Linked DNA regions of Nothobranchius furzeri. The protein of the gene in region 1 binds, or shares a complex with, the protein of each later gene. Links are inferred from orthologs where the notes say so. Each region holds a gene or a part of one and is shown in the gene's direction. Other genes may lie near its edges. The genes, in order: atp7a and atox1.

What was found.
Region 2: the proteins of atp7a (region 1) and atox1 are in contact, whole or in part, in an NMR structure (PDB 2K1R), measured with the Homo sapiens proteins. The link is inferred for Nothobranchius furzeri from reciprocal best matches to the Homo sapiens genes ATP7A and ATOX1. Residues at the interface, in NP_000043.4 of Homo sapiens: Cys19, Asn20, Ser21, Cys22, Trp24, Thr25, Gln29, Asp67, Asp68, Met69, Gly70, Phe71, Asp72; in NP_004036.1 of Homo sapiens: Thr11, Cys12, Gly13, Gly14, Cys15, Ala18, Arg21, Val22, Lys25, Lys57, Thr58, Gly59, Lys60.

What each region holds. Positions count from the first base shown.
Region 1 is NC_091741.1:97,524,009-97,527,828, reverse strand, and holds part of atp7a (copper-transporting ATPase 1), read left to right. Parts: coding exon 1-8; intron 9-1,098; coding exon 1,099-1,851; intron 1,852-2,037; coding exon 2,038-2,250; intron 2,251-2,895; coding exon 2,896-3,059; intron 3,060-3,201; coding exon 3,202-3,363; intron 3,364-3,485; coding exon 3,486-3,562; intron 3,563-3,820. UniProt on the Homo sapiens protein: ATP-driven copper (Cu(+)) ion pump that plays an important role in intracellular copper ion homeostasis.
Region 2 is NC_091741.1:69,332,821-69,337,176, reverse strand, and holds the start of atox1 (copper transport protein ATOX1), read left to right. Parts: upstream 1-1,278; 5' UTR 1,279-1,483; coding exon 1,484-1,489; intron 1,490-1,785; coding exon 1,786-1,861; intron 1,862-2,670; coding exon 2,671-2,795; 3' UTR 2,796-2,819; intron 2,820-4,303; 3' UTR 4,304-4,356. UniProt on the Homo sapiens protein: Binds and deliver cytosolic copper to the copper ATPase proteins. May be important in cellular antioxidant defense.

The sequences.
Region 1 (3,820 bases):
GATTAAAGGTGATGTACTTGACCGTCAGAGCTACAAGAGATATTAGAACACAACTGCTGCATTGCACATCTCATAGATCATTGGTGTCATGTCATTGTGTCCTCGGAGAGCTGCTTTGTAGGATTTGTCTGTGACTCATGGAATCCTTTCACCAGTATGGTTGGAGGGAGGTATATGTAGACCGAGAGGATAATGTCTGCTGAGCACGTACACGCCATTGTGTTTGAAGTGCGTGTATCGAGTGTGTTGTAAACTCATTTTATACCTTTAAACTGACAGCGACCAACCATCAGTGGAAAGCCTTTGCATTCAAATAGAAAGGATATAATTCCATATGCAGATTTGGATAAACCCTACAGAGGTCAGAAATAACTTAATACTTAATAATTAGTTGATTTTCTATGACTGAACAGGCATTTTATTGAATTGTGGTTCAGTTAGTTGAAAAACTTAACTATTGAAACTGGCCTGGACTAAGAGGATGGCAGCATTAACAGTTTGTTGTTCAAACTTTAAGACAACCAAGATAATTCTGTAACTTCTATACCAGTCAGCAGAGTTTTTGGCTTTTAGGAGGAACGTAGGTTGTTTTTGTTTGTTTTTGCTCACTTTGTTCTGTCAGCAGTTGTGCCCTCCTGGGATTCTCTCATTGTGCCCATTATGGTGTAAAGGCTCTTGTTGACCGAGAAACCGTGTTATACTTGGTCGTTTTGAAATATGATTGGTCAATCTGAGTTGCATATTTATGCTGAACATGAAAAAACACCTTCAACCTCCATTGCCATTATTAGCCACAGAAATAAACAGGATGGGGAAGTGGGGTCATTAGTCATCATCACACACTGGTGAAATTACATCTCCGCATTTGACCCATCCCAGAGGGGTGAGCTGCAGCACTGGCTGCACTCGAGGAAATATTTGGTGGTTAACTCCCCAATCCAACCCCTTAATGCTGTAATATAGAATGTAGATTTTTTAATTATTTGACATGTATAACTTGAGCAAACTTGAATTGGAAAGTATAACACGTTACAAACACAGTATTTAAGTGTGTTGTTGTTTGTTTTTGTGTGCTAACTTTGTCATTTCTCTGCACAGTTGCTTTAGAGTCTCAGGAAGCCACGGTCGTCTACATGCCTTACCTCATTGCTATTCAAACCATCCTCGACCAGATAGCTGTGGCTGGCTTCAAGGCCACTGTTAAATCCAAGTCCCACCCTCTGCTACTCTCCCCTCAAGAAATTGAACGTTTTGTCAATTCACAAAGCCCGAAAAAGTCATCACCGTCGGAGACAGAAATATTTATAGACACAGCACGCGTGCTGCTCAGGGTAAAAGGCATGCACTGCCGTTCTTGCGTGGCCAATATTCAAGACAACATCTCAGTGGTGCCTGGCGTCTCTTCTGTGGAGGTGTCTCTGGAGAAAGAGAAGGCCACCATCTGCTACGATCCTCTAAAGATCAAAGTGACCCAGCTGCAGAGTGCCATAGAAGCACTGCCTCCAGGACAGTTTAAGACTGAGCTCTGGGAGGACAGATGTGCTCTCAGTGCTGCATTGACATCACTTCCTCCTGCTTCATCAGCATCACAGCCTGCACGAGCAACACAAGCCTTACAGCCTTGCTTTAGCCAGCCGCTGGCATCCGTAGTCGTTATTCACATCGAAGGCATGACGTGTAACTCCTGTGTGCAGTCCATCGAAAGTGTGATCGCCCAAAGAAAGGGGGTGATGTCTGCTAAGGTCTCTCTGGTTGATCATCAGGGCACCTTTGAATATGATCCTCTCCTGACCACACCGGAGGAGCTGAGAGCGGCCATACAGGACATCGACTTTGATGCAACTCTGCCTGGTAAGAGTGTAGCTGGTGCAGTTGTAAATGAACTCATAATGGAGTACTCGCTGATATTTGAAAGTTTTATTGCACCCAGGCTCCTCTTAAATAACTGTTCTTACAAGTGGATGATAGGACTGCTAAGTCAAGAGGGGAAAGTCACGACTTCCTGCTATTAACTATTTAAATGTTTCTTTAAAACAGAGACCAATTCTCTGCTGCCTGCGCCCGATGCTGTCTGTTCCAAATCTTCAAGTGCATTGCCTGTTCTGGGGAGTGAGTTTGACGGTGACCGTCACAGCGAAACGCCAAAGGGACACACCGGAGACACGCCCTCCAAGTGCTTCATCCAGGTCGGAGGCATGACGTGTGCGTCTTGTGTGTCAAACATCGAGCGAAACGTCAAGAATGAGCCTGGTGTGTGCATTTCTGTTCAGTTTATTTATATAGCACCAAATCACAACAAGAGTCAGCTCAAGGCGCTTTACAAAGTAAACATTCCAGCTGAACCTACTTATCAGCGCACCGAGTTCAAGTCATTATGGCCACTAGTTAAAAGTTTGAAAACCCAGCAGGTTGCATAATTAAAGAGCAAGTCACCCCCAAATCAACTTTTTTCCCCTGATAAACTAAATAAATGTGTGTCTAATCGTACTGCAGACTCGTGTCGTCAATAATTTGGTACTTCAGTGCATCTTAGTTAAAATGTAAATATTCTGCCTAAAAGTGGCAGTGTTGTGCCGTCGTCAGGTTAAAACTCTGCACTGTACTTGAGTTTAAATCTGCCACCGCTATTGGCTAAGAGGTATGCTATGATGTAAACTGGTACATTATGATGTCACAATGCCGTTGTGAGCCTGTGTGTGTGTATTTGTTAGCAGCTCTGCCCTCTCGGTCTGCCAGGCAACAGCATTTGTTGCATTTTTCAAACAAGAGGGAGCGAAGTAAGTTTCTTGTAGGAGGTGACTTGCTCTTTAACCAAATAACTGATAATTAACTTCTTTAAACCAAGTATCTTTCCACTGTTATTGAACATCACACTGAAACTCTCCCTTTGTTCAGGTATTTACTCGGTTCTCGTTGCACTGATGGCTAGTAAAGCAGAGGTCCGCTTTAACCCGGATGTAACCGACCCGCTGAAGATAGCAGAGTGCATAAGAGAGCTGGGCTTCACCGCCTCTGTGATGGAGGACTACGAAGGCTCCGACAGAAACCTAGAGCTTGTGGTGAGTTAAAGGGCTGCTGTGTTATTTATTTCCACAAAATAGAATCCATTAATAAATGTTCGTGTTACAGATTAAAACAGCTGGAGAGAGATGTGCTTGTGTCTCATGTCATACTCGTCTCTTCCTCCTCACCTCGTTTCAGGTCAGGGGGATGACGTGTGCCTCTTGTGTTCATAAAATTGAATCCAGCCTCATGAGAGAAAAGGGGATTATATATGCCTCTGTTGCCCTGGCAACCAACAAAGCACATGTCAAGTACGACTCCGAAATTATAGGGCCACGAGACATCATAAAGCTAATTCAGGTACGTTTGAGACTTCATAGCTTTTCTGTTCCTACAGTTTTAACCTGAGTGAGTGATGGATTTGAGAAAAGGTGCTGTGTATTCAGAGATCATTCAACTGATCAGCTGTTTGTTGTTTGTAGAAACTAGGATTTGAGGCATCTTTAGTGAAGAGAGACCGTACTGCCAGCCACCTGGACCACAGCAACGAGATACGACAGTGAGCTTCTGTTTTTGTTTTTACGTTTATTCAGTTGATCAGCTGTTAGCTCTCTCTATGCTTTTATTGTAAATTAGAGCTTGAACTCCTTGCACATCTTTCTATTTCTGATATGAGAAAATTAGTTCTAGTTCCAAGTAAAATACGGTAAACTATCAGGTGGAACTTCACGCAGGTCCGGAGCGCACGCATCACCACAAAAAAAAAAATAAAACTACCACAGGAAACGGCACAGAGGTGAGACAGATGAGCGCGGTG
Region 2 (4,356 bases), about 28 Mb from region 1:
ACTGTTATCACCATTTAAATTAAAATCAATTAATTGATCAAACCTGAGAAGCTGAATGTAGATTGTCTGCATTCATTACTTATGTTGTATGTTGAGTGCTGTAAAATGCCCACTTTCAGAATTATTTTCTTGTTGTCATGATTAAATAGTAAACCTAACACTGGTATTCAGAAAAGAAACAGCACAACAGTTAAACACAGTGGTGGTAGTGTGGTAGTCTGGGGCTGCTTTACATGAAAATCTGACCTTTGACCTGAAACAAGGTGGTCATGCCAGAAAACCACCCAACGTGGCTGAAATTAAAAAATTCTGCAAAACAGATGGGGGCCAAGTTCCTCTGCGGATCCAGTTGTTGCCTCTGAGGATGCTAGTAGTTATTAGCATTCAGGGCAAATAAAATGTCAATATGAAAATGTTGGCAAGTGAAAAGCAACTAAACTGTAAGATCAGGGTGTAGCCAAAGCACTCCCCACTGAACCAGTTTGTTTTTAGACATTTTAAATGAGAAGTGTTGTCCTTTCATGAGAGCAAACAGACATCCCGCAGACCGACCAGATTAACGCGGTAATCGCATCAATGGTGTGTTATCTTTGGCCGGGAGACGCGTGAGCTGTCAAAGCAGACACGAGACCGGTGTTCTAAATGAAACCGAAAAACACTGAAAATACTAACACTTCAACACAATGCTAATGGAAGCTGGTAAAGTTAAGAGCTGCCTTGGTCGTGCCATTAAATAAGCTAGCTGATGTTAGCTGAAGGTTCCGATGTCATCTATGTGTTCGTAAACAGCAGCTCGGCCCATCACAAACAGCACCAGCCTACCTCTGCGACAACCGTGTGTGTCCTCTCCTCCAACGTTGGCTTTATCTCAGTGGCCTGACCGCAAACCTTTTATTTTCGTATCGCAGTCAGTTAAAAAGGCAACACAGCGTAGCTGCCGGCGACGCGGCACAGATTGGGAGCAAAGCAGACTCGGCTCAGCTAATAGAATTTCCCTTCAGAGGAGCCAGTGGTGTGGTCACATGACCCGACCGACCAGGATGTTCCACGTTCTGTTGCCATAGAGATATATTAAAACCTTGAAATAATAAAGATATAATAGCTTCTTGTCAGCGAAAAAAATCACGTTTAACGTCATTAAGTGAATTTTGGTAACATCTAACTGCAAGTATATTTAAACAATCGGGTCTTCTTTCTAAAGTATGTTTGTTAAAATAGGCTTTTATTTTGAAAATAAAAAAGCGACACCAGCTCGGAACGAAAGCGCTTGGTTTGGTTAGTCCACCGGGTGGTCACGAGACAGGGGACGTGCTTTTGTTTTATTCGACCGGAAGTTGAGCTACTGTTGTGGCTAAAGCTAACTTTACAGTAACCAGTTTAGCTAGTTGAAAGCATTTCTCGGGTGATTCTGCGACGCTTGCGATCTTTTCAATCGCAGGTTTACAGTTTGTCCGATCGCTAGGAGGTACACGCTACAGAAAACATGACCGTGAGTTTTCTAATGACTTCTTTATTTTTTGTTAGCATAGACGTTGCTCCTAAGTATGTAGCAACAGCATTGACTGGCAGTAGCTTGCAAAGTAAACCTTCAAATGTCACCTAGCTAACTCATTTATTGCTCACAGACCTCTTTAAAAACACCTCGGTTTAACTATTGATTAAGAAGTAATGTTATACAAAAACCATGGTATCTAGGATGAAAATTTAAATAACAACTAATAGACAAATGTACTAATTCTCACTAAAAGTTTAGATTTATTTACATTGCTTCTGCCTGCCTCACAGAAACACGAGTTTAAGGTGGAAATGGAGTGTGAGAAATGTTCAGCGACTGTCGCCAAGGCCCTCGGTAAACTGGAAGGTAAAACTCCTCTTCCAGTCTCCTGCAGTTGTTCGCTTCACTTGCCTGTTTTGTTTGTTTTACTGGCTGTCAGTCTGAAACTGCTTTTCTCTCAGCTAAAATATATAATTTCGTCTTTGTAAAGAATGGAGTGTTAACGATTTTATATCAAGCAGATTTTTTTTATATTAGGATTAAATGTGTCACTTTATATCTGTCTTTGGAGCAGTCTTGAGAGAACAACACTTTAAAATGTAGAAATTCTCTGTTTCAGCAACATCACTTTAATTTTTTACATGGGTCATGTTTATGCTGACTGTATGCATTATTTATATTCTATATTCTATATAATTATCCAAAATAATTTAAAATAAGTTTTTTCAAGCTATGTTTATAGCTGATCAAAAATATTTTTCTAATATTCATCTTGTTGGACAAAATCCATTGTGGAGGCTTAAATTTATCCCACACATCTTCCTATTCAAGTGGCATTTGACTAAAATGTCTAAAATTAGTTTCTATCACATCCATCTAATGACCTGCTGGCTCTGAGCTTTGAGTCAGCAGGTAAATCATGTGATGTCATGTGATAGTTTTACCATTCTTTTACTCTGTAAAATGTTGAGTTTCAATCCAGTTACACTGGAGCTTTGATGTAACAAAATTAACTAAACCTCTTTTCAGCTCTTGACTGCTATGGAGGTTATTTAATGCTAAGATTGTTAGCTTTATTTTAGATAAACTACTGACTACTACTGCAGGTTTTCAACGTGAGGCATGTTTTTTTTAATTCAATATTCTGACAATTGCGCTCTTTCTGTCTCCCCTAGATACAAAGTTTGAGATTGACCAGCCAAATAATCTGGTTTGGATTGAGTCTGACAAGGATGTGAAAGTTCTCGAAGATGCGCTGAGGAAAACTGGAAAGTCGTTCACGTACAATGGCACTAAATGAAGGAATTTGCCTTACGTACAGCAGGTGAGACAGTGGTGATAACAGTAGCTGTGTTTACATGGACAAAAGTAATCAAAATGAATGCCCTATCAGGTCAAAATTTCTTTATGTAAACACATCAATTGGAATATTCTGATCCGATACTGCCTGATCAGAATGAAATTCCATTCCGATTGACAGAGTGAATCTTCACTCACTCATCAGCACTCCTTTATCCAACAACGCATAGCTAAAAGACATTTTGTCAGGGCTATTTAATTCCACATTAGATTCAATGGTTGAATCACCTGTGCAGCAGCTCATCAGGCTCTGCAGAAGTCATTTAATCACCTGCTTAGGGATGGGTACCGAATTCGGTACTTTTTAAGGTACCGACCGAATTCCATAGTACCGACCGAGCACCAATTCACGTCATTTCAAATGGTGCCTCGTTTCGGTACCCGTCCTTCATAACGAGAACTTGCCTAGACAGCTGCGCATGCGCAAGAGCGTTATGTCGTCGTCCCTGCGAGCCAGTTGTAAACAGAGCAGCATGGTAGAAAGAACGAACGCTAAAGCTTGGGTCCACTTCACTAAATGTGATGGGTAACTGGGTGATGATGAAACCAGCGACAACGATCTAAGTGAGACATCCTCATCTTAATCTGCTCCGGTAGGTAAATAAAATGTTTAAGATAACGTTAGCTTGATATGTTAGCTTCCGTTTCGCTAATGGTGCGTTCGCTTTCTCCTCGGAACTCCGAATATCCGACTAGAAGAACACGAACACGCTCTTAAGTTTGGCTTCACTTTACTAAATGCGACAGGTGATTGGGTGAAGATGAAACCAGCGACAACGATCTAAGTGTGAGGCATCATCGTTTAAATCTGCTTCAGCAGTTAAACTGTTTAAGATAACGTTAGCTTGATATGTTAGCTTCCATTGCCACCGTTATCAGCTAATGGTGCATTCGCTTTCTCCTCGGAAATTCTAACTTCCCAGTAGGAAAAATCAAATGAAAAAGGATGGTAAAAGGAATGAAGATACACAGTAAATTTAGTTCACAGTAAAGATGTTTGCTTCAGTTTAATTATCAGCTTATAAAACTACAAGGACGATGTTAAAATACAAACAGATGAATGTTATTTATCGTGATAATTATCAAATACTGTTATATATTGAGGAAAAATATATGTTTAATTATAAAAGAGAATTAAAATATTAAACACTCAAAAGTATCAAAAATTGGTACCTTTAAGTACCGGTATCGATTCGTAGGTACCGGGAATTAGTACCGGATTGATTCAAATGTCAAAGGTAGTCATCCCTACACCTGCTGATTGAAATCAGGTGTGTTGAAGCAGAGTTAAAACTAAAATGTGCTGGACACCGGCCCTAGCGGCCCGGAATTGAATGGCCCTGGTCTAGGTACTTCCCCACTTGAGCATTCATGCTGTGATTGACATGTGTGCATAGGTGGGATGTCTGACAGTTTTGACTAAATCTATATAACTTTGTTTTCTTTTAGAAAGTCATTGCAGCTTCAGAGTGAAGAAGTCCACTAATGAGCATCCAGGAGAA